6 linked regions of the Coturnix japonica genome follow. The protein of the gene in region 5 interacts with the protein of the main gene of each other region in a pairwise test. Links are inferred from orthologs where the notes say so. Each region holds a gene or a part of one and is shown on either strand. Other genes may lie near its edges. The genes, in order: TTC19, PLEKHF1, PLEKHF2, NGB, L3MBTL3 and PRKAA2.

Region 1 (4,819 bases), on a different chromosome or scaffold from region 5:
ACCAAAGTCTCACTGAAACTGTCCTTTTTCAAACAGCTACTGTGCGTACAGGACAAGGCAAACAAGGGCCCTCTGGGTGACATTCTGGTTCACCTTGGACCAGACCTTTCAGCAGCTGACTGGTTTGAATGCAACACGGGTTGCCTACCCCAAGTCAGCAGGCCCACTAATTAAGCTAAAAACAGGAATGCACAAAATTGACAGACACTGGCTGGACATTCATTTACTTACTTTTGTGCATCAGAATTGCTGCCAGGTTATTCAGCACCATGTGTTCCTCAGGGTGTTGTGTCACCTTTGCCAGTTCAGCTGCCCTCTTCACACGAGAGTATGCCTCATCATAGTGTCCTTGAGCATCCAATACAGTTGCCAAGTCATTCATGAGGACCACAGTCTGCAGCAGGACAGAAAAGGAATCCTCAGAGCAGAACTCGAGTAGAACTTTGAGCCAACAGCAGCACCCCACTCATATATTACACTAATGAAAGTGTTTCATAGTGGAGCTTTTAGTAAGGAAGTGCCTTACCTGTATATTAACATGATAAATGCTCACTGTTACTGTCAGGAAAACAGTACTGTCTACATTCAATGCCAGCAAAACTGCTCTTAAGGCTACTGCCTTCCCCTGTTTGATCCCTCATAACTGTTATGCCTTTCTTTACTTACTAGTCTAACTCCCATTGTACACATTACCTGTGGATGAGTCTCTCCCTGAACGTCACTTGATATCTGCAGAGCCTTCTCATACATTTTCTGGGCCACTGGGAGCTGGTTGATGTCTTGCAAATAGCGAGCGTAGGAGTCCAGGCTCATCCCCAGCAAGAGACGAGTGTTGGCTTTTTCTTCAGCTGCAAATAGAAGGGAGTGGAAATGAACACAGCAATATGAAACATGAGTTCACATCCTGTGAGAGCTGGAAAACCAAGCAGTATGAAGACAAGGGACTGGCATAAAGGTGGTGCTTAAGCAAGGACAGAGAAACGGAAAACAAACAAGAAAGAAGCCTTTGGCAGATGAGGTACTCTCACCTGACAAGACATCCTCAGGCAAGTCCTTTTGCTTGGCGATCTTCTCCTCTAAGGTCAGGATGCAGAACTCAAAGCCAGCCAGGGCTAATTTATGCCTGCAATGTACAAGTCAGCAGTGCAAGGCTTCTTCCATCCCTAGAGGGATGGATGTGAATACCTTCCTTATCCCTTACTCTTCCACCAGACCATTCTTGCCTTCAATGCTTGCTCCTCGATTATGTTCTATGCCCTTCTGACCCATGTGCAAAGGGAACCAAGAGGGAGGAAGGAGCCCCATCAAAAAGAAATAAAATAATAAGGCCAACAGAGGCTGCCCACATCAATGCTCTCTTTTGTGAAGAAAAGAAACTACAAATTACCAAACACCAACTGCATTCAAAAGCATGTCTTGTTTAGTGTGGCCTCTACAGCTACTCCTGCCCTAAGCTGGGCGGGTCCTTATAGCAATCACTGTGCTGCACGATGCAACCTCATGCCAGTGAGAACTTTCATACACTGATGGGATCTTATCACATCAAAGCTTCCACAGACACTCTGTTCTTAGAGGCACGAGCCTCTGCTTGGCCACCATTACCACCGTGTAGCTGAGATTAAAGCAAAACATGCCTTTAGCAGAGAACTCACTGTTTCTGAGCAGCATAGATACTGGCCAGCTTGAGGGACATCTCAAGGATTGCATTGTCATCCTGCCAGGACACACAACGCAACTGTTACTCCTTTTGCATCTTCCCCGTAGATCCATTACTTTGCCAGAGAACAAGTTTAGACTTTCAATGTGCTCATCCTGTTGTTTCCAGAGCAGTTTTCCACTAAAGAAATCCCTTTAAAGCTGGCAGGCTCACAGCTAGTGCTGCCAGGGACCGGTAGGAGGCAGAGCATCACAACAAACAGAGCGAGGGATTGAGCACCTCACTTCATACTCCTGGTTGAAAACCTTCACCAAAAGAACCCACCTCCTTCGTGTCTCCTGCAAGCAAGTAGCTCATCGTTGCTTTGTAGAGCTTTTCTGCCTGAAATGAGAATGTTGAAGAGGACATTGGAGGATGATGATGATGATAAACCATCTCTACTGCTGTGAGAAACCTGCCTCAAACTCTGGCCATCTGTACTGCCACAGTTATTAGCAAGAGTGGTGAGAAGTGAAAGGCCAACCAGAGCCCGGAGCTACTGCCAGCTGCTGAGGTTCTTACTGCAGGACGCCCACAATCTTATCACATCTGGGGCTCTTTAATACTTCCCTAGGTTCTCCTGCGGCCAAGGATTGTGGCATTCAATAGTAAGAAAGAATCCTGGTGGATGTTGGAGCTCAACACCCAGCTTTGTACTCAGCAGCTCTGCAATACCGCAGCCCCGAGGCTCAATATCATGTCAGCCCCTCCAGAAGCAAAACCAACAGCTGCCATCCCTACTCACGTTGTCCAGCTGTCCCTGCATGAAGGCCACGTTTGCCATCTGGAAAAGACACACAGCGCTGGAGCTCGGCATTGCTTCTGGGCTCCCACCGCTCTCCAACCCGTCTCGTTACCGTGCTGTACGTGTAGATGATGGCTCTCCTGTTGTCGGCCTGGTGCGCCAGGTGCAGCGCTCGGTGCAGCAGCCGCTCGGCCTCACTCAGTTCGCCCTTCATGACGCTGAGCTGCGGGCACAGAGCGGGCACAGAGCGGTCACGGTGCGGGCACAGAGCGGCCGGAACCCTTTTTACCCGGCCCTTCCCTGCAGGGCTCCGGGCCCACCCGGCGGGAGAAAAGAAGACACCGCTTGGCCTCCATTTCCGTCCCTCTCAGCGCCTCACCTTGGCTTTCTTCAGCAGGACAATAATGGCGTCCTCCCCGCCGTCCTGCTCGTCGTCCCTGGGAGACAAGGAGAAAGCTGCGGGCCGGAGGTGACCGCCGCCCGGCCCGGCCCGCCCGCATCCCGCCTGGCCTCACCTCCGAGGAATCCCAGCGTGAGCCCGGCGCCCTGTTGAACCCACCGCCGCCCGGCAGACCCCGTCCCGCTGCCGCCCCGCTGCCGTCGGGTCTCTCCGTGCCAGGCGGGCCGGGGTCGCGCGATCCCCGCGGGGCAGCGCCGGGTTAAACGGGACAGCGCCCGCGGCACAGCGGCGGCCAGCATCGTTAATGGGAGCGGGCCCTTTAAGAGCGCGCGCTCATCACGTGACTAGGGGTGCTGCGTAGCCGGAGCGGGGCGCTCTTGTTCCTATGGCAACGAGGCCGCAGGTAGGCCTAAACCAGGCCCAGACCAGGCCCAGGCCTAAAGCAGGCCCAGACCAGGCCAGGCCGCCCCGCATGGCTCCGTTGCGGCGGCCATAGCGCGGCTCCTGGGATCCGCCATCTGCCCGCTTCCCCTCAGACAACCCCGTGCTCCCCGGGGGCAGCCGGGACTGCTCCAGGCCGCCTCTGCCTGGAATGGCTTGGCCCCGCGCCGGGCTGCCCCAGGCGTGGGCCTCTCCCTATCCGTTATCCTTCTTCCCTCCCACGGAGTGTGTTTATGCGTGAGGCCCGTCCGAAAGGCCTCTGTCACCTCGAGGAGCCCTTTGTGCTGAGAACATGCACAGAGCACAGCTCAGGGTTCTGCTGGGGATGCCCTTTCCTTGGCCTCGTGTCAGGCTGAGATGAAGCGCTGCTCGGTCACATTCCTGACTTACAACATCTGCCCTGACCTCAGTGGTTTCCCAGCACCTCCCTGATCTCTTCTGTCTCACTTCCAGTCCCGAGGGCAGTGCCTGTGACATGGACAGCACCTTGCCAGCGGTGGCACAAGAGCTTCTGAAAGAGATCAGGAAGGCTTTTCAGGAGACCTCCCACGGTACGTAAAGAGCAGCACAGCCATCCCAGCACTGATGGGCAGTCTGGGTGCTGTCAGACCTGCCATAGCACAGGATCATAGAATGACCCGGGTTGGAAGGGACCTCAAGGATCATGTAGTTCCAACCCCCTGCCTAGCAGGTCCACCAAACATACACATTTACTAAACCAGGTTGCCCAGGGCCCCATGTTGCAGTGTTGGTGCTCTGCCCTATCTGTGTCCTTTGTTCTCTGTCACACAGCAGTGGCCATTGCTGTCACATATGGGGTGTTCCCAGCTTTTGTGTCCCACCCTGGAACCAACACAAAGGGCTCTGAAGTAGAGATAATGAGGAGCAGCACCCCTTTAAAAAATAACACTCAGTTGGATGTTTTCCACCATGGGAAATTCTGCTTGCCCAGAGCTTGTAGTGTGATAGATGATCATTTCCATCCTCCCATGGTTTGTTTTTTTTTGTCATTCCTACCACAGTGCTCCTTTTTATGGAGTCAAAGTCAGAACTGAAAGGGAAATCTTCCTAAAAATGATGGTGTTTCATCAGACCAGTAGAGGGTACAATATGGGCCATCGCCTGGCAAAGAGCAGCTTTCATGTTGCACAAAGAAGGCACAAGCCAACACCTTGGTCTATTCTAGCAGCCAGTTAAGAACTGTTCCCTTCCTTGTGTTCTGGATTACTGAATCAGTTCTGTAATGTCTGCTGGAAGAAGATTGATCTTTGTTGCTGGGTAAAAGTGCAAAATGGTTCTTCCTAAGGAAAGTGTCTGTGTGAGGAGTGATTTAGCTGTGCTAAAACCAACCAAATCAACATTCAGGGAAGCCTGGCTGTGTACTGCTTTGGAGTGCAGAAAGGACAAAGACTTGGTATGAAAACAGAGTGGTCACCTCAGTTGCTCTTTATTGTACTTGTATGGCTCCTATCAGGTTAGAGTAGATCCCAAATGTACTTGTGACTTTCTAAAGCAGTTTATAGGGCCCTCTGTAAAC
Region 2 (3,499 bases), on a different chromosome or scaffold from region 5:
GGAATGGCCTCAAGTTGTGCAAGGAGAGATTCAGGTTGGATATTAGGAAAAACATCTCAGAAGTGGTGAGGCACTGGAGCAGGATGCCTGGGGAAGTGGTGGAGTTCATAGAGCTGTTTAAGGAAAGAGTAGAGGTGGTACTCAGGGACACAGAGAGCGGACAATACTGGTGGCAAGTGGACTGCTGGCCTAGATGACCTTTGAAGTCTCTTCCCACTTTAATGATTCTGTGATTATTAGAGGTGTGACTGTCCATTATCCAATTTATCCATTAGTGGATAAAAACAGTTCATAGATCTCTTGGGAACTGATAATAGTAAGACCTTTGGATACAGAAGAAAAGCTGATCTCTAAGAGGACTGAGGAATAGGTTCAAAACTGGGATATATTTCTGAAGCCAATTGCTGGGAAGAGAACTGAGAGTTTTGCCCATGGAGTACAGAACTGGAACTTAAGTTATGCACACTGATTCAACAACTGTGCTATTTTTGGCTTGTGAACTGTTCTAAGGGCTGTTTATTTTTAAGGTCATTTTCTGTTTGCATAGCATATACACCCTTCTGGTGGGTGGGAGGCATTATAAAAACAATCACTGCTGCTGAGAATTATGAACTAAACTTGAAGAGGGATAGCAAAAAAAACAGAACTTGGTGTACTTACTACTTTAAAAAACATCTGTTTAGGTCAGAAGGTTTGTTGACCCACTCCAAGCTGTGGCCACACCGGAAAAATCCCATTCCAATTAATATGGACTACCACAGGGAATTGCAAAAGAATTGGGAAAACTCGGACAGATGACAAAAGGGTATAAACAGAAAGGAAGAATCAGGTTTGACAGTACTCACCTTCTCACTCACAATACTCACTCAGAAATACTCACCTTCTGGTAGTAAATACAAGACCAGAACGTTCATCTCATGGCTGGAGAGTTGCTGGATTTCAGGCTGGTTGGCCATGCCTGAATCACAGCATCTGTCTCAATTATTTAAGGCTTGTGTAAAACAACAACACACTTCACTGACATATTTTTCTGGCTTCTTCCTAGTGGCCATATCTTTATTCCCACACAGTCAAGTAATACAAATTGATTGGACAGTGGCAGTTTACAAAAGAAAGAAAGAATAATTATTCTGAGATTAAATTTAAGAAAAATCTAAATCTGACCACATGGCATCCAATGCCATAATTAGACCAGACACTGGTAAGGAAATGCTTTATAATGATGAGGGTGTATTCTCAGCCACATTCCTTTCCCAGGAAATAAAATACACCATACAAAAATATACTAAAATTATTAACTGAGTTTGTGGAAACGTCTGCTGCAATATAATTGCTGTTGTCTAATTTCCAGCATATTTACTCCAGCGCTACATTATGATAGAAATAAACTGTTTGTTCTAATATTTGAACTTATTTTGGACTTTAAAGTTCATCTCAAATTAATTTCATTGGGCTCCAATCCTGAAGATGCATTAAGGACCTTAATTTTGAACTTGTGCGACTGATAGAAGTGAGTGAGCACAAGAGTGTTCAATTCCTTGATGTCTTTTTCAGGAAGGGAGTGAGAATCAAAATGCTGAACCTCTGTGATTTTAAGAATTCTAGAAAAATACCCCAAATTAAGACTTGCTAAAAGTCTTCCCCGGGCGACTCTTTTACCTGATAGGCTTGAGGTCATCATCTCTCTAGCAACCTGGTGAAAATGCCTGGTTTTGAAATCTGGGGCTCTGCGCATCAGTTGAGTCAATTGCAGTAAAGCTTTTCCTTCTCTCCTTTGTATAAATGTACCTGTCTCTCTTCCCATCCACCCCCACTACCTTGCTGATATCACAGATATCTGATATGATGATTTCTTTCCATATAAGAGCCCCAGCCCTTTGATAAGCCTCATATGCATTCACAGTGCCATTCCCTTAGTGTTTCCAAAGTTCAGAATTCCTGGTGTAGAAGTCAAAGTCCGTACCTATCTCACCACACACCGAGGAGAGACAGGTTTGCACAGCTGCAATGACAATCTCTGAAGTAGATGTAATACTTGTGAAAAGAGCCAGCCCTAGAAGTTCTCTGCAGAGAGAATGCCTCACGGGAAGGAAAAGCACCAGTTTTCTGCAGTGCCCATCTGAAAGCCCTGTCACCTCTGAAGGAGGAATTCAGCACGAGCAGACAAACATATTTCAGCCAAAGATTGCCAGCTCCTTTTTCTCCCAAGAGTATTATTTCTCCTTTTTTGCAGACAGGAAGACTAAGGCACAGATGGGTGAACTCACTTGGATCAAGACTGATCTCTAGTCCGTGCTTTTCTCTAAGCTGTGACTCTCTGCTTGCATATATGAGACATTCTCAGAATGACTCACAGCAGTCCCTGACCTTTGCTTTCCTCACAGACAGCACAAACAGGGGCCAATATCCACCTTCCCAAGCATGGCCTCCACAGGACACACTGAGAAGGACACGCATTGGAGGCCAGAAATTGGCTACCCAATATTTAAACACCACCGGTTCTCAAGGAGGTCAGCTATGGAAAGATGACCAAGATACTTCTGAGTTATAAAACTCTGTGTCTGCTGGCCACTGGTCAACTTTGTAATCATCAGACTTGTCACTGTCATCACCACTGGAGGGTTCGTAGCCTGGGATGTTGCCACGGTACTGCTCCGGCTGCTGACCGTCAGCCTCCTCTTCCTTCTTCTGTTCCGCCAGCAGCTGCCTGTAGCACAGGTTGCAGACCCTCAGGGGCTTGGGGGACAGCCTGGGCATCAAAAACCTCTGCCTGGAGCAGTCTCCGCACACCACAAAGCCACACTTGCGGCAGTGGTGCCTTCGAGTGAGCGTGGAGAACTTGGTCTGCGTGCAGCGCATGCAGATGTCTGTCGCCTTGTCAGGGATCCAGGGGGCCGCGTGCTCTGTGGAGGGCTGCCTGCCCGTCTTTGTCAGCAGGTGCCTGATGCACTCCTCCAGATGGCTGATCCACTCCTTCCGCTCCGTCAGGGAGGCTGCAGAAACCACAAAGGATTTCTTGGAGGTTTTGATCATCCAGCGGTTCTTCATCTGCAAGGTGTCCGGCAGCGTCTCCAAAGTGACATCTTCAAGGGGAATGATGTGCTGGGAATTGTACTTCCTTTTGTTAATCACTATGCTCCCGTACACGAGGATGTCGTTGAACAGGAAGAATATGCGAGGCTTTGGTTTCTTGCGGCATTCTTTGGTTAAAATCCCTTCTCCCAAAAGGACTCTTCCTGGCACAGCTAAGGGTTGTCCAGAAGCCCCAAAGCAGTGTTCCACAGCAGCAATGCGCTGGCTGTTGATCTCAGTGTTTGCGAGGTGATCCACCATCTCCAGCTCACCCTGAAGAGAAGAAAATAAAGAAGTGGTGAAGCTGCACTTACAGCAGACTGCCAGGACAAGGCTGATCAGCAAGCCTGCGTGCAAATCAGAAGCTTCTCATGTCAGTGGAGGTTAAGAATAATCTCTTTTACACTCTTCACATTAGTTTATGACC
Region 3 (4,757 bases), on a different chromosome or scaffold from region 5:
AATTGCAGCTTAAGAATTCCTTCAGTATGCTATTGGGAATTCTGGAATACCCTAACTTAGAAGGAAGAACTGTCATTTCCTTTTCATTCACTGGTTGGGTAAGAATAGCTCGTGGAATGTAAATGTTTTTAAATGAAGACAAACAAAAGCTTTATTGTCAAACCTGCAAGACAAGCCCATTACCCTTAACATCTCCCAGAGCCAGATAAAAATGCCTAGAAAGGCCTTTTACATTTCCACTACAGAGACTGTTTCTAGGAGGATCTTTCAAACTATGCGACCTTACATTCCCCAGCCCACTCCCAAGTGCGTTTGGATACAGAATCTATCTTTAGCAGGAGCCTCTCCCCACCTGCTTTGCCCAGCAGCACAGTGAGAGCAGAGAGATGCTTTTTTGCTGTCCCAGCTGCTCTGCCAGCTTCCATTATCACAGAATGGTTCGTGTGGATTCTACACACCTCCTTCCCTTACAGCTTGGCGTTCAATACAATCAACTTCAGCAAGGAAGAAACACTGATTTGGATGTTAGGAGGAAATTCTTCACTAGGAGAGTGGTTAGGCCCTGGAACAGGCTGCCCAGGGAGGTTGTGGATGCCCCGTCCTTGGAGGTGTTCAAGGCCAGGTTGGACGGGGCCCTGGGCAACCTGATCTAGTAAAGGTGTATGTTTGGTGGCCCTGCCAGGCAGGGGGGTTGGAACTACATGATCCTTGAGGTCCCTTCCAACCCGGGTCATTCTGTGATTCTGTGAAGAGGAGCAGCATCATTAGCACAAAACATAACCCACCACCCAGTTACAGCAGCTTCAAGTGTCGCCAAACCCACTCCACAAGCCTCTCTTCAAAATCAGCTTGTTTCAGTGGTAAGCATCAATCACTGCCTTTGGAGGCGCACGCGGAGGCACTTCCACACGTCACACGTCAATGTTATACGCTATATAGAAGTGCTTACTTAAGAAAAAAGTTACCGCACGCTTCAGGCCATAAACCAGTTCCAGGGAGGCAGGCTGCCTGTCAGTCGAAGCAGAACAGAGGATTCAGTCCTCTCACATAAGCAGTTCCTGAAAGAATCCCTTAATCATAACAACTTAACTACAAGGCCTTCTTGGGAAACACACTCAGCAGCCTCTGACAGCTTGTCAAATGCACTCGATGCACTTCCGAGTTCTGTGGAAAGCATGTAGAGCACTGGAGCACCCATTACAATGCCATCCCTTGTACAGGAGGGGTGGCAGCCCACTGCCCTGCTGAGCACCAGGACACATTGCATCACAGCCCCACAGAGCTCATTGCTTGCATGGTGCCACGTTATGTGCCAGGAACAGGGCTGGGGCAAGCGTTACTGTGTTTGAAAGCCTGAAAGTTCAACTGTTTGCCCTTCTTTTCCACTTAGACAAAAAGCCTAAATGCTCCTATGTTGAATATGTAACATTCTGAACACTGTATTGCTGTAAAATGCCAACACGCAAAGGGGGGTAAAAAAAAACAAAACAAAACAAACAGCACCACTTGAAAATAGATTTCAAAACCCTTAAATTATTCATTGTTGCAACAGAAGCAGGAGGAAAGTATCATTACACCCATGGTAGCAACATTCCTACCTATTTATGTAACATCGAGGAGCCAAAGCAAACATATCAGTGCATTTTTGACTGTGTAAAATATCAGGCTGTAAAAACATCATGAAAAATAGTGCTCTGTTCAGTAACACTTGCACACAACGATGCTTCCTTTTGGAAAAGGAGAATCTTCGTCCAGCAGCTCTCAGTCAAACGACTCTTTCTGCACGCAGACCCATTCACTGCAACAGCACTACTGACGTGGGTAGGAATTTGCAGGACTCTACTTGCTAACGCAGTTGTCATCAGGGCTTATAGTTTATGCCAACGCCAAGATAATGGCTTGGTGGAAGTATGTTTTACCACACCCACCTACAAAGCAGCTTTCATTCCCCTTTCAAACGTAATAAGTCCTCCACTAAATCACGAACACAAAGTTGTACAACAGCAAACCCTGTATTTCATAGAATCACAGAATAACCTGGGTTGAAAAGGACAGTGATCATATAGTTTCACCCCCCTGCTATGTGCAGGGTTGCCAACAACCAGGCCAGGCTGCCCAGAGCCACAGAGTATTTGCTGCACAAAGTTTTAAATACTTTGAACAAAACTCAGCTGCTCCAGCCTGTATTCAGCTACACAGGGATTTCTCACTGGATTAGTCAACGTTATTTACACAACACAATTCAAAGGGGGGGTAAAAAGCTCCTTCGGTGCTGAAGATCCCCGTCCTCCCCTCACGCTGATGGCTGCAGTCCGTGGGGTCTCCGCACTGACATTAAGCCTTTAAGCGCTTCCCTACTTTCAAAGAGCCTCAACCAATCCAAAACACACCACAGAACCGAAAGCTGAGCGCTGAAGTTCTCCTTATTCCGGGAAAGAAAGAGGAATCGACAATCTCAGCTCTGAAATCCGCCCCGGTTGCAGGCTTTGGTTTCAGGCCCGCCCCAGCCGCTGGCCCGGCCGCAACCCGTGCCGGCACAGCTCGGAGCTCGGCGGTACGGAACCAGCCTCCCGAAGCCGGGCCGTCCCGAGGGCTGCTGCCTCACTGACAACTGTGGCACTCAGCCGGCACACACCGCCCTGCCACCGCTGCACAGCCAGCTCCAGCTCAGGAGCCGAGCGTGCCCGCCTGCCCGGGCAGCACACATCCATCGCAGCTCCCCTAAGAAACGCACGTCCAACCGACGCGCTGACAGACGCAGCTCCGCAATTCCACCTCCTTCCTGCTGCTGCTTTTTAACTATTTCTCAATTTGGGGCCCAACTCACGCACCCCTGGAGCCCACGAGCACCGGGTGGAGGTCTCCACACACTTACGTAACGCCCGATACTGGCAGCTGCGGGGCTTTTCCCCCCGTTAAAGCCCAACTCCTTTCGGACGGGACAAACAAGCTCCCGCCGCCGCCCCTTCGCTTCCCGTCAGCCGCCCGCAGCGCCCTCCCGCCGAGCAGCGGCAGCTCCCGGCCCCGCGCCGCCCCTCCGCCCGCGGGGCAGCCCCCGGCTCCCAACATGGCCGCGGCGGAGCGCCCGGAGCCCCAGAGAGGGAAACGCTCCGTCAGGAAAGTTTCAGCCTCTGCCTCCCGCCCACGCTCCGGCGGCAGAACCCCAAGCGGGAAGACACCGGTTCCGCGCTGCCCTCACCGCGCTGCTCAGCCGGCCCCGCCCGACGCTCCACGCTCCAACTGCCGCCCCGACCCCGCCGCGCTCTCCCCGCTCGGCCGCGGTCATGCACCCGCCGGGGCCGGGCTCCGGGACACCGCCCGCACGGGGCGGGACCGCCGCCATCTTGGGCGGAGCCAGGCGGGCGGGAAGCGCTGAGGGGTGAGAAGGAGGCAGTGGGGTGGGGGATGTCGGCGTGTGCAGTGGGGGTAAGGGAGGCTGTGGATGCCCCGTCCTTGGAGGTGTTCAAGGCCAGGTTGGACGGGGCCCTGGGCAACCTGATCTAGTAAATGTGTATGTTTGGTGGCCCTGCCAGGCAGGGGGTTGGAACTACATGATCCCCTTCCAACCCGGGTCATTCTGTGATTCAGGGGGCTCGAAAACATCACCCCGCTGTGGGAACTTGTTGGAAAGAGCCTTTCCATTCTTTGAGTCAGCGGTCTGTCGCTTCAAGCGCCGTTTCCTTGAGTTGAACGCTAAGGATTGTCGTGCTCTTTTTTATCAATCTCTGTGTCTACGCTTTGTAGCACACAGAAGGCAGTCGCTGACTTGTTGGAGTTTGAATAGCTGCCAGTCAGTCAGCTCGGAAAAACGCACCCCGGCCTGACAGTACGAACTGTACCCGAAACACCACAGAACTCATAAATACAGCGAGGCAGTAACAGCTCCAACACGGGACTCGGGGCCTGCTGTGACACCGCTCCACTGCAATGACCGCATCGAAAACCAGCCTCAGGCTCTGCTGAAGGAAACTCTCACTGGCAGGAAACACTGCGGGTTTGGCTTTCCCCATTTCACACTGCAACCAACTGTTGGGCAATGAGGCAGGGTGACCGTTTTTCCCCATTTTCTAAGGGGAAAAAAAAAGCCAGTGAAGCAGTGGGGCTTTCCTGTGGTAGCAACTATTTCCTAATTTCAATTGAATTTGTCGTAAAACTTGGGAGTTTTCACTGTTATCACTTCCTCACCTCATTCATTTTGATATAGTCAACAAAATAGAAGGGAAAATAACAATTTTGTAAGAGTCCCATAATGCCCCAACCAGATCTGCCCATTCTTGGATCTTAGGAGCTTAAGGGGTCTTGTTTGGCACCCATTAACTTCACACCCTGTACCCAGCAATGACTGCTAGTGGAGACTGAGGAAAACCATGTAAAAATAGAACATTTTCCTACTAATCTCATGAACTGAGCTTCTAAGGAGTCTTTTATTATTATTATTATTTCTTATTTTCTTTCTTTATTGAGGTGTGGGCCTCAGTGTTACAGAGGCTGCCGTTAATACACTCCTCTAAGAGATACCAACTGCTAACAATCCACACAGGACCACAGGGATGGGAAGGGACCTCTGGAGCTCATCTAGTCCAACCTCCTGCTAAGGCAGGTTCCCTACAGCAGGTCACACAGAGAGGCATCCAGGCTGGTTCTGAATATATCTAGAGAAGGAGACTCCATAACTCCTCACCCTCATTTATCTAATTCTTCTAATTCCTTTTTTTCACCTTCAGAACAACAGGCAAATGTAATTATTCTTTTAAAGT
Region 4 (4,925 bases), on a different chromosome or scaffold from region 5:
TTGCCATTGTGGTCATACATTTAGTGCTGCCACAGGAGATATCCCTTCCACTAGGAACTATCACCCTGGGGTGTGAGCTGTACAGAGCCTTCATGGACCCAGGGAAAGGTGTCCTATGTCCCAGCCAAACCTGATGCAGCAGCCCCGTGCTGTCTCCCTATTTCACCATGCTCATCTCCTGCCTTGTACTCCCTGTGCCTTTCTCGCTCACACTCATTGGCTCATCCCTCAACTCCATCAGGCTGCCTTTGGTGCTTCCCTTCTGTGTGGGAACTGCTGAGTCCTGGCCTGAACCACTGATTGAACACCTGGGGAAAGGACCCAGTCAGCCCTGGGAGCACAGGTGAAGGCAATTCAGCTGTGTAGAAGGGGTGGAGCCTGGCTGCACCTCTCCTAGACTGCATTTCAGGGCTGATCCTCATTGGGGAAGGATCTTTTTCTGGAAATCCTTCCTTGGTGTAGTTTTCCTCTGTGAACCTGGAATCTTCTGATACAGGTGAGGAATCTTCTTCTCTTCCTGTATAGCACCTTTCTGTTGTGCTGGTCCTTCCATCATCACACCACTGTTGCAATGCTTTTGCCATTGTATTGGCCTGCCTAATTGCTATACCAGCAGTGACCTTCGAAGCAGAATTGAGGTCCTTTCTTCTGGCTCCTCAGCCAGAGAGCTGGAGCCTCCTCAAGAAGTTCAGTTCCCTTGTGAGTTTGCTGGACTCAAGAGTATGGATCCAGAGTAGAGCTTTCCATTCCCAGCACTGCATCCTCAAGGCTGCAGGGCTCCAGGAGCCCATGTGAGCAGGGCAGGGGTTTGGGTGCTGCCAGAGCTGCCTCCTGTGGCCACACTGGTAGGCAGCCTCATGGATAGAAAGAGCCCTGGGGGTTGCAGCTGAGCTGAGGCAAGGTGCTGCACCTCCTGCCAAGGATGGATGGTGATGTTCTGAAGCAGAAAGTCTCCAATCTACTCACAGTGAGTCAAGGTGCATCTGGGTTGGGGTTCAGACCTCTATCTGCACTACCTATTAGAAGAAATCAGCAGTAGGGTATGGGATGAGATTGGCACAGTTATTCCAGAGCAGAGCAAGGTGTGACAGTGACACTGGTGCTTCTGTGGTGCTTGCATCCTTCTGCAACTCCTGTCCATGGGGCTGCTCTGCTTTCCTGGGTTCTGCCATTCTCCTTGAGCCCTTGCTTGCTTATACTCTTATAAGTTTCCTTTTTGCTAACTTGTGCTAAATTAAACACACTGTTCACCTTTATCTGAGAAGTAAAGAGACGTTCATTGCATCATGGAAACATTTGAGTTGGAGGAGATTCTAAAAGGCCATCTAGCACAACTCTGCATTGAACAGGGATACCTACAGCTGACCAGTTTGCTCAGAGTCTCATCCAGCCTCTCCTTGACCGTCTCCAGAGATGCAGCAGCAATGACATCTTTGGGCAACCTGTTCTGTATCCTTCTCTACCATTACTGTAAAAAACTTTTTCCTTATACCCAAACTAAATGTCCCCTTTTAGTTTGAAACCATTTCCCCTTGTCCTATCACCACAGACCCTGCTGAACAGTCTGTCCCCCTCTTTCTTATATCCCCCTTTAGCTGCTGATAGGCTGCTCTCAGGTCTTCCCGGAGAAGATCTTTGTCTTCTCCAAAGAGAAGTTGGGAGTCCTGAACGTGGCTGACAAGGCTGCTTTCCGCTACGCGTACCAACACCTTCACTGTGTTCAGCAGTTAATTACCCTGAAATGACGGAGACTCTTAGCGGCGCTGGGCAGGCATCTGCCCACGGGGACAGCGGTAGCCGAGGGGCAGCTCGGCGCGGTACCGCCCGGCCGGGGGGGTGCGGGGGGCGGAGGGCGGGCGGCTCCACTCCGTTTCGGGCTTCGCTTCGTTGCCGACCCCGCTGCGTGCGGAGCGGACCTTGGGCGGCGGGGACAGGGGCAGGTTCCCCGGGAGGGCTCTTCCCCGCCCCGCCATGGAAAGCGGGATGCTGTCTCGCACGCAGCAGGCGCTGATCCGGGAGAGCTGGCGGCGGGTGAGCTGCAGCCCTGTGCAGAACGGCGTCGTCCTCTTCTCCAGGTGAGCGGGGGTCGGTGAGCAGCGCGGCTCCGCACCCGGGGCGTTCAGCGGAGCCCCGGGATGGCGAGCGCTGCGGGGCTGCCCCGCGCGGTGCCCCGCGTTGCGGCCGGGCAGGAGCTCGCGGAGCCGCGCCGAACTCTGCCGAGCGCATCTCAACGTCTTCCCTCTACGGGCTGTGACGCGGCACGGCGGGTGAGCGGGACTCCGGATGGAGCCGACGAAGAGAGAAGATGAGGCCTCTCTCCCGCCGTTGCAGGTTGTTCGATCTGGACCCTGACCTGTTGCCCCTTTTCCAGTACAACTGCAAGCGGTTCGCCAGCCCCCAGGAGTGCCTGGCCGCTCCCGAGTTCCTGGATCACATCCGGAAGGTGAGAGGGGTCGGGGCGGTCCGCGGGTGGGTTCGGGACTGCAGGGTGTTGGGGGCAGTGCACGGGAAGGCTGTTATGCCCCCGGGATGGGGAGAAAGCGGTACTGAGGCTGCCTCGCAGGAGCTCACGCACAGGAAGAATTGGGAACAACTCGGCACAGCCCTTTGGTGAGCCCGGAGGAGCAGCCCTGCTGGGTCAGAGCGCAACCTCTGCTGCCTTCGTAACCCCATAACCTCCATCTTCAAACCAGCCTTTATAGCCTCCATCTTTAAAGCAGTGGAACGCCTGCTAGCCTGGCCTCGTTCCTTGTGAGAGGCTCATTTCCTCTGATTGCTGCAGGCTTTCTGCTGTTTCCCTGCCACTGATTATTGGACAAGCAATGTCCATCTTTATTTCTGCTCTTACTGCCTTAAGCTGAAAACGCTCTTTGCTCTAATTGGAGATAATTTCCCTCTTGAAATTACAGAGTACAATTCTATCACCTCTTGCCTTTGCTGGGCTAACTGTGCCTTGGCTTTAATCTCTCCTAACTTGCTCTGTCTGCTCCCTTCATCCTTCATTAACTCTGTCTTGCTTCCACGTGACTCTTCATCCCTCTGGGAGCCCATTGCCATTTGTGCATTGCCAGACCACATCTCCTGGCTGGGCTATCTCCCCCTCCCCCATCAAAATACTTTGGCCTACCTTAGAATTGGTTCCTACACTGTTGCACCATCCTGGCAACTTCCAGAGGTTCCACTCTCTCCTCCAGGATGGGAGGCTAACAGCACTGCTTGAAGCTCGTGTGCTGGGAAGTGGTGGTGGCTGCTGGGCTGGGCAGGGTGGAGCAGAGGTGCTGGCTTTGTACTAATGCAGTGCAGCTGCTGTGCTCCCCCAGGTGATGCTGGTGATTGATGCAGCTGTCAGCCACCTGGAGGACTTGTCCTGCCTGGAAGAATATCTCTGCAACCTCGGCAAGAAGCATCAGGCAGTCGGTGTGAAGGTTGAGTCCTTCTCGGTGAGGTGTATTCTCCCATCCCACTATGGCTGTTTGTGCAACCCTTGATGGTCCCAATCCTCCCATGCCCGGTACTGGGTGCAGCTGGCTGGGGAGAAGGCTGATGGCTCAGCACAGCCCTGAGCTGCTGGTGATGTTGGCTTGGTCAGGGAAACCCCTGTGCTCCCCTTGTTTCCTGCCTGGAGGGTGAGGGCAGAGGGGAGCAAAGTGTTTCTGAGGCTGTTTGGTCTGTGGAAGAGGAGGCTCTTATTGCTCTCTACAGCTCCCTGAAATGGGAGTTGTGGCAAGGCAGAGGTCAACCTCATCTGCCAGGTTACAGTGATAGGATAAGAGGGACTGGCCTCATATTGTGCCAGGGGAGGCACAATTGGTTGGGCACTGGAATTGGGCCCACTGCAGGTGGGCAGTGGTGGAGTCACTGTCCCTGGCAGTGTTCAAGAAGCATGTAGGTGTCACGCTTAGGGTTATGTTGGTATTGATGTCTGGACTAGGTGATCTTAGTGGTCTTTTCTAACCTTAATGATTCTGTGATTCTATGATTTCCCATCTGGAGAGGGTGATGGCTTGGTGTGCTGCTGTCTCTCACCCCAAGTGGTGCAGGAATGAGGGAAGGAGTCTGCCTGTTGTCCCCCAGCACTGAGTTGACTATTCCCTGTTTGGATTGCAGACAGTTGGCGAGTCTTTGCTGTACATGCTGGAGAAGTGCCTGGGTGCTGCCTTCAGCCCGGATGTGAAGGAGGCCTGGATCAAACTCTACAGTGCAGTGGTGAAAGCCATGCAGGGTGGCTGGGAGGTCCTCCCAGAGGGAGACTAGCCCCAGACCTGACCCTGCACAGGGTGAGCTCTAGTCCTCTCTGCCTCTCTCCACCTCATTCTGTCTCTGCACACCAGCCCACCTCCTCCAGCCACATGTGCCAGGTTCTCTTTGTGATCTCACCTTGCTTTGACACCGCCATGTCCCTGCTGTTCCTGGTGGCCACAGGGTATTTCCCTGTAGCCCAGAGTGTCCAGCACAGCACCACCACCCAGTGTCAGGTTCCTGTGGGCCAGCATCTGTAGCTGTGCTTTGGCCTTCTACTGGCTCCCTGCCCTCCTTTTGCTGCCCATCCCCATAAGATGACCACTGGTGATGACCTCTCAAGCCCCACAGCGAGCTCTCATCCTGCTCTGCTACTTACCTGGCATCACCCTGGGCAGTGATCTTGTGCTCCTCTGCCCTGTTGAGAGCCTTTTCCTGTGTGAGGCTGGTTGCAGTGTAGTGTGTTCCCTGGGAGCATTTCCAGTGGTGGGAGATGGCATTAATGCCAAGGTAAGGCTGCTTTCAGTGATATAGGCTGCTGCCCAGAAGGGTTCCTGTTGACTTGGCCAGTCAATTTTATTGAGAGAGCTGGCTGAAGTGCACCAGCAGCAGTGCTTATTTGATGTTTTGTATTAAGAAGAATAAGGCAAATACAAGAAATGATGTCTTAAAATAACAGTGAAGGT
Region 5 (4,833 bases):
TAATCTAATTATTTGGCAACTATCTGCATAAAAATATTTCAATAACATTAGGAAATGACTTTCAAAAAAGCACTGAATGACTTCAGTTACAGTTTATTCTTTGTTTCTAACCCATATATTTCCTCAGTTAAGAGTTCGTGAGGGATATTGGAATTTTCTCATCCTTTCACTTTTATTTTGTGAAAAACTATTCTAGAAGAGTTTAAATATATGCTATTGCTAATTATTACAATAAGGTCAATACTGTTTTCCATAATTAGTTTCTAATGAACATATGTTCATTAATGAAAAGTGCATGCTATGCGCAATGCCATTTGAGCTGAATGGGCATGAGAGATGTTAAACATAGAATAATACTATGTGCCGCACACAGGCACCATCCTGCGAACACACGTGATTTCAGTGTTACCATTTTCAGTAAATAGAAGCTCTCAGGATAGCATGGTAGAAGTCTAAGTCACACCTAAGTTACAAGCATGGACATAGATTTGATTCATAAATATTTCAATGTATGTTCTTATGTAAGTACATCAGTGAATGGAAGCCAATTCTTCCTGCCAGAGAAGGGCACTTCTATCCTTTGTCCAGTGCAAGGCTGCCCCAGTTGCTGGGATGCACACAGTATATACCCATCATAAATAGTGTATACTCATAATAGCAAAGAAAAGGTTTATTTGGTTTGGTATAAGCCACATTTTGGTTATTCTGACTTTGTAGGTAAGCATTTTTTTGTCATGTATTTATTTCTGTTGATAATTAATCCTATTATTTATTCCTGGTTATCATTATTCCTGTTTTAATAACTTGGGCCACAGTTGTCTCTGTAACTGTAGAAGGAAGCATATGTAAATTCAAGGGAAAGTCTGGACTTGATAATTACTGGGATAAATCAGAGGCTGAGGGCTATTTTAAAAGAGACGTAACAACATGCCAAACTACTAAAAATGTTTAATTCACTTTGCCAATCCTCGCCTTCAGAATATGGCCATCTTACAGATATCACGTGGTCTGAATAAAACATTTCTGGTAAGTATAATGACTGCATTCCATGTTGGTTTACACTTTGCCTGAAACTTTCTGTCTCTCTGTCTCTCCCTCTTTCTCTCATCTATTTATCTGTCCATATCTACATCTATCTATACTTATACCTATCTATGTATCTAAATGTTTTCAAGTGTCATATATACAACAGATTGCAATCCCCCTCCCTCCCTCTCACCCGTTAGTTAGGCCTCGCGTAGCTCTATTCAGTTTAATGTTGCTTTGCAGCCCTCCTTCTAGGTGAAGGAAGCCCACCCTGTCCGACCCCATAAACAAACAAAAAAACACCCACGGGCCTTCCGTTCGTAGCATTTTCTAAACAATGGCAAGGGACAGAAAATATCTCCTATTGTGAGCGCAGGGGGTGATGGAGGGCAGGTGGCACAGGTGAAACTACTTTCCATTTGCAGACCAGCTGCAGCGGGCTGAGGCCCAGCGCCGTAGCAGAGCGCAGGAGTGTGAATGGCCGCACACCCCCCGCCGGGTCCCGTGTGACATCCCGAGGCGAGCGGCTCGGCTCTGCGCTCGGACGGCAGGCAGCGACCCGTCACGCCTTTTGGCGAAAGGACGGGGGAAAAGACGGCGAGAAGACAAGAAAAAGGGAAAAAAAGGTTTAGCGCGTTATTTTCCAAAAGCCCAAAAATAGCAGCGCGCTGCCGCGCAAGCCTCCTTATTATTCCTCCGGCGTCGGCATGCAACCGGGGATGCCGCACCTCGCAGGGCGCCGTGCGCTCCGCCGCCGCCGACTTCAGCCGCCGCCGCTCGCTCTTCCACCCTCGCCCGCGCTGCCACCGCCGCGAGTGCGGCTCCGGCGCAGCGGCAGCGCGGGCGAGGGAGGAAGAACGAGCGGCGGCGGCGGCGGCGGCAGTTTCCCCTTTCCCCAGCCCTGGCTCGGCGGGCGCATGCTCACTTGTGCCCGCAGCCCTGGACCATATTTGTCAGGACCTACTCGAGAGCCGGAGAAAAAGAGAGAGAGAGAATTTGGGGTGGTAAGGAGCGGCGGGTCGCGAGCCGGAGCCGCCGGCCGCGGCCGGGGAACGGCGTCGGCGGCCGAAGGCCGGCGGCGGGGTCGGGTTCGGCCGTAGGTGAGGATGAAAGTTGGAGAGCGAGAGAAAGGCAGAGGCGCACCTCCTCGCCCTCCCTTACGAAACGCCGCCGGGGAAGGGAGGGGGCTTCTCCCCCCCACCCGCGCGGCGGGGATGGAAGTTCGCGCCGGGGAAAGTGGGCAAGTGACTCGCAAGTGGCGGGGGAGCGGCCGGGGCAGGGGGTGCCTCCCAGCGCCCCAAGTGTGTGAGTGAGAAAGAGGAACAAAAGAAAGAGAGAGAGAGGTGCCTGCTATTTCTTTTTCTCTCCCCAAACACATGACGGGAGTACGCGCATCGAGCCGTGCCGCGTATCTCGGCGCAGCCACGGGCACGCACGTATGTGCATGTGCATAGAGCTCCGTATGGGGGAGGGAGCCGCCGAAACGCGCCGGGGGGGCCTTTTTTAGGGGGGGAAGGGGCTCCGCGAGGAGGGGGAAGGGAAGGGGAGAGACATTTTGCGGACTTGCCCCACCGCCGAGCCGCCGCTCGGCTCCATTTAACGCCGCTCGCGGGGCACCGCGGGGACAAACGCGATGGGGCCGGGGGGGGGGGAGGGCGCGCGGGGCTGCGCGTCGGAGGGCGGGCGGCGGGGGGGGATCCTGCGCCGCGCTCCCCCCCCGGCCCGGCTCTTTGTTCGCGCACGCCGAAGACGGGGCGAGGTGCGGGCGCGGGGGGGCGAGGCGCGGGCGCGGGATGGGGGTGGGGGCGGTGCGAGAGCCCCGTTTTTTCGGTCGGAAGCGGCAGGCGGCGGCCGGGATGGACCGGTTGAATGTGCCGCGGGTTCCCGTGCGCGAAGGCCGCGCTCAGCGCGCAGCGGAGAGTTTGGCGTGCCCGTCGCTCCCGCACTTTGTGTGCCTGTGCGCGAGAGATATTTAAAATATAATCATCTCCCAATTTCCGCCATTTTGGGGAAAGTTTGCACACACACACACACACACACACACACACACCCGAAAAAAAAAAAAAAAAAAAGCTTCTTGCGATTTTTTATTTTTTTTTAAGAGGAGGAAAAAAAAAGTCTTCGGCTCCAGCGTTCCGCTCCCGCCGCTGCCGTGCGGTGCGCGCTCCCGGGGCCGCTGCGGCAGGCGGGGGGCGAGCGCGGGGCGGCCCCTGCCCGCTGCGGGCCGGCGGCTGGCACCCGCGGGCGGCGCCGGGGGTCCCGCGGGACGGCCCCGCGCTGCCGCGCACGTGTGTGCGCCCGGACGGGAGGGACGGGCGGGCGGCGAGCGGCTTCGCCCCGAGTTGCGCGCTCTCGGCCCGAGCGCCGCCGGGGGTGCGGCCCCGTCTCCCCCCGCCGCTCCGTCTCCGCAGCCGGTGCATTAACAACAGGATATAGGCACACTTGTTCTCGCTAACGTGCGTGTGAGGCGGCGTTTTCGCGACTGGGGGGAGGGATTTTTATTATTATTATTATTATTATTATCGCGATTATTATTTTGGGTGGGAGCGGCCGCCCGGAGCGCGAGGCCGGGGGGAGCCGGGGTGGGGGCCGGGAGCCGCCCCCATTTTGTGGCCGCTTCGTCGGAGCGGCCGCACGCGAGAGCGTGAGAGAAAAAGTTGGAGCGCGGGGCCGGGCTGCTGCGGGTGGGGGGCGACGCGGCGCTGCCCTCCGCGGGCAGGGGCACCCCTCCGTCGGGCGATCAGCGCGTCCAGATTGGCTGCGAGCGGCCGAGGAGCGAATCCCGCAGCCCCCTCGGGAAAGAGAGCGCGCCCCCTCCTCCTCCTCTTCCTCCTCCTCGCTGGGGGAGGGGAGGAGGGAGGAGAAGGTAAAATTTTCCCCTTCCACGCGGAGCCGGCCGCCCTTTCCCGGATCCCCGTCTCGGGGGGAGGGGGGGGCGGGAGTGAGGGGGGGTGGGGAAGGACCCGGTAAACAAGCGGAGTCCCTCTCCGGTTGTGCAACTTCCTCAGGAACCCTCGGCACCCAGTTCCTCTCCCACCCTCGCTCGCACCGCGCTCGCCCCCGCGCCGGCCGGGGGTCCGTCTCTTGCCGCGCGCTCCCGTCGCTCCGGGCCGGGGGGAAGGAGGGGGGAGAGAGAAAACGGCGGGGAGCGGCGGGAGAAGCGCGCTCCCTCCGCTCCAGCGCTGCCGGCTCGCGACCGTCGGAGCGGGCGGCCGCTTTGTCTCGTCGCTCCTGCCCGAGCCCCGGCGAAACGCGGACCCGAGCACTCCGGGTTTTTCTCCGCCAGAAAGTTTCGAGTGCGGCAAAACACGCCGCAAAACTGGCCAAGGAGGGACCTCTGGCGGTAGGCCGCGGGCAGCCGGCGGCCGCGCCCGGCGGGCCCCGCGTCGCTGCGCTCCGGCGGCGCGGCTCCAGGCCGAGCGCGGCGGGGTGCGGGCTCGGAGCGGCCCGGGCCGGCCCCACGCACCGCCGTCGGCCGCCCCGTTGTTCGCGGCGCTCGGAGGCGCTGAGTAACGCTTCCTGGAAACGCGGCCCCGCGGGATGCGTTGGGGAAGGCCGTGACGCGCGGATCCGTGCGGTGACCCGCGGGCAGCGGGACGGGCTGCGCGATCCGTGAGCTGACACGGAGCGAGAGCCGCCTTCTCATTGTTCCGTTCGTTTCCGAGAGGCGCCGGGCTGAGCGCTCGGCTTTTTTGTTCCTGCCCGCAGCGAGCGCTAACAATCAGGTGGAAAGTGTAAATACAACTCGAGACGCGAACGCTCGACTTCACGCCGCTTTCGGAACGGCTCGCGTTCACAATCAGAGCA
Region 6 (4,218 bases), on a different chromosome or scaffold from region 5:
GTTAGTCACAGTTTAAAATGTCAGCAAATGTCCTTAAATGAGGCATTTCTTCTGTAGTCAATGGCTGTACTACCCATGAAAGGGAACAATTGGGCACTTAAGTAGGCATTTGTGCCTTCAGATATCGTGACATGTTTGTAACTGGCAACAGGGCTTTGAATGTTTCACAAACTGAGTAATTTTTTAAATATTTATCTTGTGAAAGTGGAGTCCCATATGTATTTTGTGGAATTTATAGTAGCCATTACTATAACATGCTTTAGCAGAGGGTTGGGCTGGATCATCTCCAGAGCTCCCTTCCAACTTCTATGGTTCTGTGATTACATGTAGCTGGTGTGCTAAGCATATGCATAAACATCACAAGTACTTACAGGACATAATGGATTGTTAATACTTTTGCAATTGATGGCCTGAATTTAACCATTCAAATAGGATCTGAACTATAAATGCCTTTTAAACTTCACGAGTCCTGAAGAGTAGGAGATTTAATTGTATGTTAGAGCAACAGCATGCATGCCAAGATTACCATTGATAGGTGGCACCTATAGCTGAGGCTTGCACTGGCATTTACCTGCTTAATTACCATTGACTTCATTGTGAACTGGTGGGAGTAGTGGGCCTGGCTAGCTTTGAAATATAAGAAGGACATAGGGATATTAGAAAGCATCCAAAGGAAGGCTGCAAAGATGGTGAAGGGTCTGGGGGGAAAGGTGTATGCAGAGTGTCTGAGGCCCTGTAGTTTGTTCAGCTCAGAGCAGAGAAGGCTGAGGGAAGGCCTTGTGGTGGCTACAGCTCCACAAAGGATATTCCATGATTCCTCTATGAAGTGGTGTGGCTGATGTTGGCCCCTCTCTGCCTTTCCCAAGGGAACACGAGTGGTTTAAGGAGGAGCTGCCCAGCTACCTCTTCCCAGAGGACCCTTCCTACGATGCCACTGTCATTGATGATGACGCAGTTCGGGAGGTCTGCGAGAAGTTTGAGTGCACTGAGTCAGAAGTGATGAACAGTCTGTACAGCGGCGACCCCCAGGACCAACTAGCGGTTGCCTACCACCTTGTCATCGACAACCGGAGGATCATGAACCAAGCCAGTGAATTCTACCTGGCCTCCAGTCCCCCAACTGGCTCCTTTATGGATGACTCCATGCACATCCCTCCTGGTGTGAAGCCTCACCCCGAGCGGATGCCACCCTTGATAGCAGACAGCCCCAAGGCACGCTGCCCTTTGGATGCACTCAACACCACTAAGCCCAAACCTCTGACTGTCAAAAAGGCCAAGTGGCACCTGGGGATCCGCAGCCAGAGCAAACCCTATGACATTATGGCCGAGGTGTACAGAGCTATGAAGCAGTTGGATTTTGAGTGGAAGGTAGGAAATGTGCTTTGGGGAGGTTTAAAATGTTTTTTTTATTATTATTATTGTAACTTGAGTTGATTGGCGAGGTCAATCTATATATGGTCGCAGCCTCAGCTGTTTCCAAACAAATGCCCACAAGATGTTCCGTATTTGTGCCATTTATTTGTGGCATGAATAAGAGTGGTTTTTTTGTTGTTTTTTTTTTTTCCCCTGAATGCCCTAAGCCTCTGTCTGGAAAGATAATTCTGTCTTGTTTAGCTGCAGGGATAAGAGGAGCTGGTCACATTTCTAATTTTAGTGGCTAATTCCCTGCGAGGTCAACTCGAGTGCTCCCAAGAAAAGCATCTCCCTTTATTTCTGCTTGGGTCATAGTAGTTGCATGTCCTGAAATGGCACGATACATGTCTCCTTGTTTCTACTTATGTGGTGGCTTCACACCGGTGGGCAGCTAAGCTCTACCTTGCTGCTCTCTCAGTCTCCATCATCAAAAGAACTAGGGAGAAAATTCGATGAGAAAACCTCATGGACCGAGATAAGGACAGGGAGATCACTCACCAATTACTGTCACAGGTAAAGCTGTCTCAGCTCTTCTCTAAAACTAAGTGCAGTCATAGGTATGAGCTCTCCTGGCCTTTCACAGCAGCCTTGTGCAAGCATCAGGATCAAGAAAAGGAGAATTTCTGCTCAGATATTCATCACTGGAGTCAATATCCTCCTTACTCCACGTCCAGAGTGTTTTTGCTGTGTGGATGTCTTCAGCCCTTGGTTAATGCCCAAACTTTGTGCCTGTGCATCTTTGAAACCTCGTATGTCCTCCTTGTTATGTATTTAAAGATAAGTAGCACCCAGAACCTGATTTCATGGCACCATCGAAGAGATGGACTGTCTCCAGATACACGTGCCTACAAGAGCCAGACATTTGTTGGCTGAATGGTTTTACAGAGAGCTAACAAACCTAACGTATTTCTGGTATGACTTCACAGACTGATTCAACCAAGTGCCTTTATGTAGGAGCTTATTTTATACGAGGAGGTTTCACAGCAATCTTTCACATCCTAAGAATAACTTCAGGCGTGACTCTTAGCTTTGGCATCAGTGCCACCGTTTCATAAATATAGCACAGAGAAAAGATCTCATTGCGAATGAGATGCAGCAGATTGTGGGGTGGGAAGTGGTGAGAGAAAAAGTGTAGCACAGCTCAAGACTGATTGACGAACACTTTGTTTAGTTGTGCTGATGGGAGAGGCTATGATTCCCCACCATCCATCCTGCCTGGCTTTCCCAAGCACGGTCCTGTTATATGGGCCTGGGAGTCGTTTCTGGCTCTTTTGGCCATTACTGCCATTGAGGGAACAACAGTGTTGGTTTGGTGCCTGAAGGAGAGGCTGCAACAGCTTCATCTGCCAGCAGGGCTGGTGAATCAGAGCCCCAAGAATTGTTCTCCAAACACAACTGTAAGAGGAAATAGGAGAGGAAGCCATTTGCTTAATTTTTAAAGAATTGTTCTTTTTAAAAACTGTGTTTTTTCTTTCTCTGTCAAAAGGTGTCTTGCTAGTCTTTAAAATAAAAGGAAAGCAATGTTGTTCTTCTTGCCTTGAATGGTATTCCCTAAAGCTGGTTGCCCATTGCAGGTGGTGAACTCCTACCACCTCAGAGTGCGTCGGAAGAACCCAGTGACAGGCAACTATGTGAAAATGAGTCTGCAGCTGTACCAGGTGGACAACCGCAGCTACCTCCTGGACTTCAAAAGCATTGATGGTAAGCAGTAATGAAACAGCAAGCTTGGAAGTTTTGAGGAAAAATAATATTTCTTCAGTTCCTGAATGCTTTTGTAGCATGTGATGCTGTTTCAAGTCACTTAGATTCGTAATCATAGAATATCCCAAGTTGGAAGGAACCCACATGGATCATTGAGTCCGACTCCTAAATCCCTTCTGATCCATTTGTCTCCACTACTGTTAGCAGTTCCTTAGTAAAGGGATACCAAACTAATGCTGTTATAATTATTTCTTGCTTTTTCTATTGCCTTGAAGATGAGGTGATGGAGCAGAGGTCTGGCTCATCCACCCCACAGCGCTCGTGCTCAGCTGCTGGCTTGCACCGGCCAAGACTGAGCATTGATGCTGCAGCAGCCACTGAGTGCCAGTCACTGATGGGGTCCCTGAGTGGCTCCTTCGTGGGCAGCATCTCCTCAGTCCCCCCACGCCTGGGCAGCCACACCATGGACTTCTTCGAGATGTGTGCCAGCCTGATCATGGCTCTGGCTCGCTGAGCCAGGCACCGAACTCCCAGCACATGGCATTGCACTGTGAGGACCAGCTCCAACATGGCTGTTCTGTTGTTCTTCTGCTTCCTTCCTTCTCCTCACCACTCCACAGCCTGCAGCGCAGAACCAGTTCCTCTGCTGAAAGATCCCAAGTGCACTCAAAGGATACAGCCCCTCAAACAAGGCATTGAGGAAATCAGGAATTACTTCGTTTCACTCGTTAGACCAGAGTGAAATATATGTGAGCTTTTTTATCCTGAACCCAATGGGATACGTGGGCAGGGCTGTAAAGTAGCAAACACATCATTGACTTTTGGTAGAGAACTCCCTCCTGGTTGATCCTGAATTTACAGAGCCATGGGCAAGCATTTCTTTTCACAACACAAATTGGTTCAGGTTGTACCTCCCATACAGCCCGAAGCAGGGGGAGGAAAGGGCTGAACCTCTGGCAATGCTTTCACCCTAAATCAAGCAGCTGCTGCATGTAACATCCCACCCTCTGTTCTTTTTCCCTTACTAAAGAAGGTGAGGGGTGGCATGTGAAAAGCTCCCATTGCAGACATGGGGCAGGATGCTGCTGAGTCCCCCAGATCTGG

Evidence for each region.
Region 1: the proteins of L3MBTL3 (region 5) and TTC19 interact in binary tests that used the Homo sapiens proteins (3 or more experiments, as listed by UniProt). The two-hybrid records come from large-scale screens. The link is inferred for Coturnix japonica from reciprocal best matches to the Homo sapiens genes L3MBTL3 and TTC19.
Region 2: the proteins of L3MBTL3 (region 5) and PLEKHF1 interact in binary tests that used the Homo sapiens proteins (3 or more experiments, as listed by UniProt). The two-hybrid records come from large-scale screens. The link is inferred for Coturnix japonica from reciprocal best matches to the Homo sapiens genes L3MBTL3 and PLEKHF1.
Region 3: the proteins of L3MBTL3 (region 5) and PLEKHF2 interact in binary tests that used the Homo sapiens proteins (3 or more experiments, as listed by UniProt). The two-hybrid records come from large-scale screens. The link is inferred for Coturnix japonica from reciprocal best matches to the Homo sapiens genes L3MBTL3 and PLEKHF2.
Region 4: the proteins of L3MBTL3 (region 5) and NGB interact in binary tests that used the Homo sapiens proteins (3 or more experiments, as listed by UniProt). The two-hybrid records come from large-scale screens. The link is inferred for Coturnix japonica from reciprocal best matches to the Homo sapiens genes L3MBTL3 and NGB.
Region 6: the proteins of L3MBTL3 (region 5) and PRKAA2 interact in binary tests that used the Homo sapiens proteins (3 or more experiments, as listed by UniProt). The two-hybrid records come from large-scale screens. The link is inferred for Coturnix japonica from reciprocal best matches to the Homo sapiens genes L3MBTL3 and PRKAA2.

The regions. Positions count from the first base shown.
Region 1 is NC_029534.1:5,220,349-5,225,167, reverse strand, and holds the start of TTC19 (tetratricopeptide repeat protein 19, mitochondrial), read right to left. Parts: upstream 3,166-4,819; 5' UTR 3,141-3,165; coding exon 2,957-3,140; exon of another isoform or gene 2,898-2,956; coding exon 2,821-2,897; exon of another isoform or gene 2,776-2,820; intron 2,665-2,775; coding exon 2,554-2,664; intron 2,481-2,553; coding exon 2,442-2,480; intron 2,039-2,441; coding exon 1,982-2,038; intron 1,715-1,981; coding exon 1,653-1,714; intron 1,124-1,652; coding exon 1,029-1,123; intron 849-1,028; coding exon 694-848; intron 395-693; coding exon 232-394; intron 1-231. Other genes in the region: ZSWIM7 (zinc finger SWIM domain-containing protein 7), read left to right, coding at 3,758-3,833. UniProt on the Homo sapiens protein: Required for the preservation of the structural and functional integrity of mitochondrial respiratory complex III by allowing the physiological turnover of the Rieske protein UQCRFS1.
Region 2 is NC_029526.1:7,110,696-7,114,194, reverse strand, and holds the end of PLEKHF1 (pleckstrin homology domain-containing family F member 1), read right to left. Parts: intron 3,346-3,499; 5' UTR 3,334-3,345; coding exon 2,512-3,333; 3' UTR 1,023-2,511; downstream 1-1,022. UniProt on the Homo sapiens protein: May induce apoptosis through the lysosomal-mitochondrial pathway. Translocates to the lysosome initiating the permeabilization of lysosomal membrane (LMP) and resulting in the release of CTSD and CTSL to the cytoplasm.
Region 3 is NC_029517.1:114,520,656-114,525,412, reverse strand, and holds the start of PLEKHF2 (pleckstrin homology domain-containing family F member 2), read right to left. Parts: upstream 3,332-4,757; 5' UTR 3,200-3,331; intron 3,007-3,199; exon of another isoform or gene 2,876-3,006; intron 1-2,875. UniProt on the Homo sapiens protein: May play a role in early endosome fusion upstream of RAB5, hence regulating receptor trafficking and fluid-phase transport. Enhances cellular sensitivity to TNF-induced apoptosis.
Region 4 is NC_029520.1:35,498,525-35,503,449, reverse strand, and holds the start of NGB (neuroglobin), read left to right. Parts: upstream 1-1,861; 5' UTR 1,862-1,971; coding exon 1,972-2,075; intron 2,076-2,331; coding exon 2,332-2,443; intron 2,444-3,320; coding exon 3,321-3,440; intron 3,441-4,107; coding exon 4,108-4,254; 3' UTR 4,255-4,277; exon of another isoform or gene 4,278-4,925. UniProt on the Homo sapiens protein: Monomeric globin with a bis-histidyl six-coordinate heme-iron atom through which it can bind dioxygen, carbon monoxide and nitric oxide.
Region 5 is NC_029518.1:52,550,530-52,555,362, reverse strand, and holds the start of L3MBTL3 (lethal(3)malignant brain tumor-like protein 3), read left to right. Parts: upstream 1-1,900; 5' UTR 1,901-2,030; intron 2,031-3,360; exon of another isoform or gene 3,361-3,482; intron 3,483-3,796; exon of another isoform or gene 3,797-3,892; intron 3,893-4,833. UniProt on the Homo sapiens protein: Is a negative regulator of Notch target genes expression, required for RBPJ-mediated transcriptional repression. It recruits KDM1A to Notch-responsive elements and promotes KDM1A-mediated H3K4me demethylation.
Region 6 is NC_029523.1:23,050,524-23,054,741, forward strand, and holds part of PRKAA2 (5'-AMP-activated protein kinase catalytic subunit alpha-2), read left to right. Parts: intron 1-866; coding exon 867-1,368; intron 1,369-2,987; coding exon 2,988-3,114; intron 3,115-3,389; coding exon 3,390-3,628; 3' UTR 3,629-4,218. UniProt on the Homo sapiens protein: Catalytic subunit of AMP-activated protein kinase (AMPK), an energy sensor protein kinase that plays a key role in regulating cellular energy metabolism.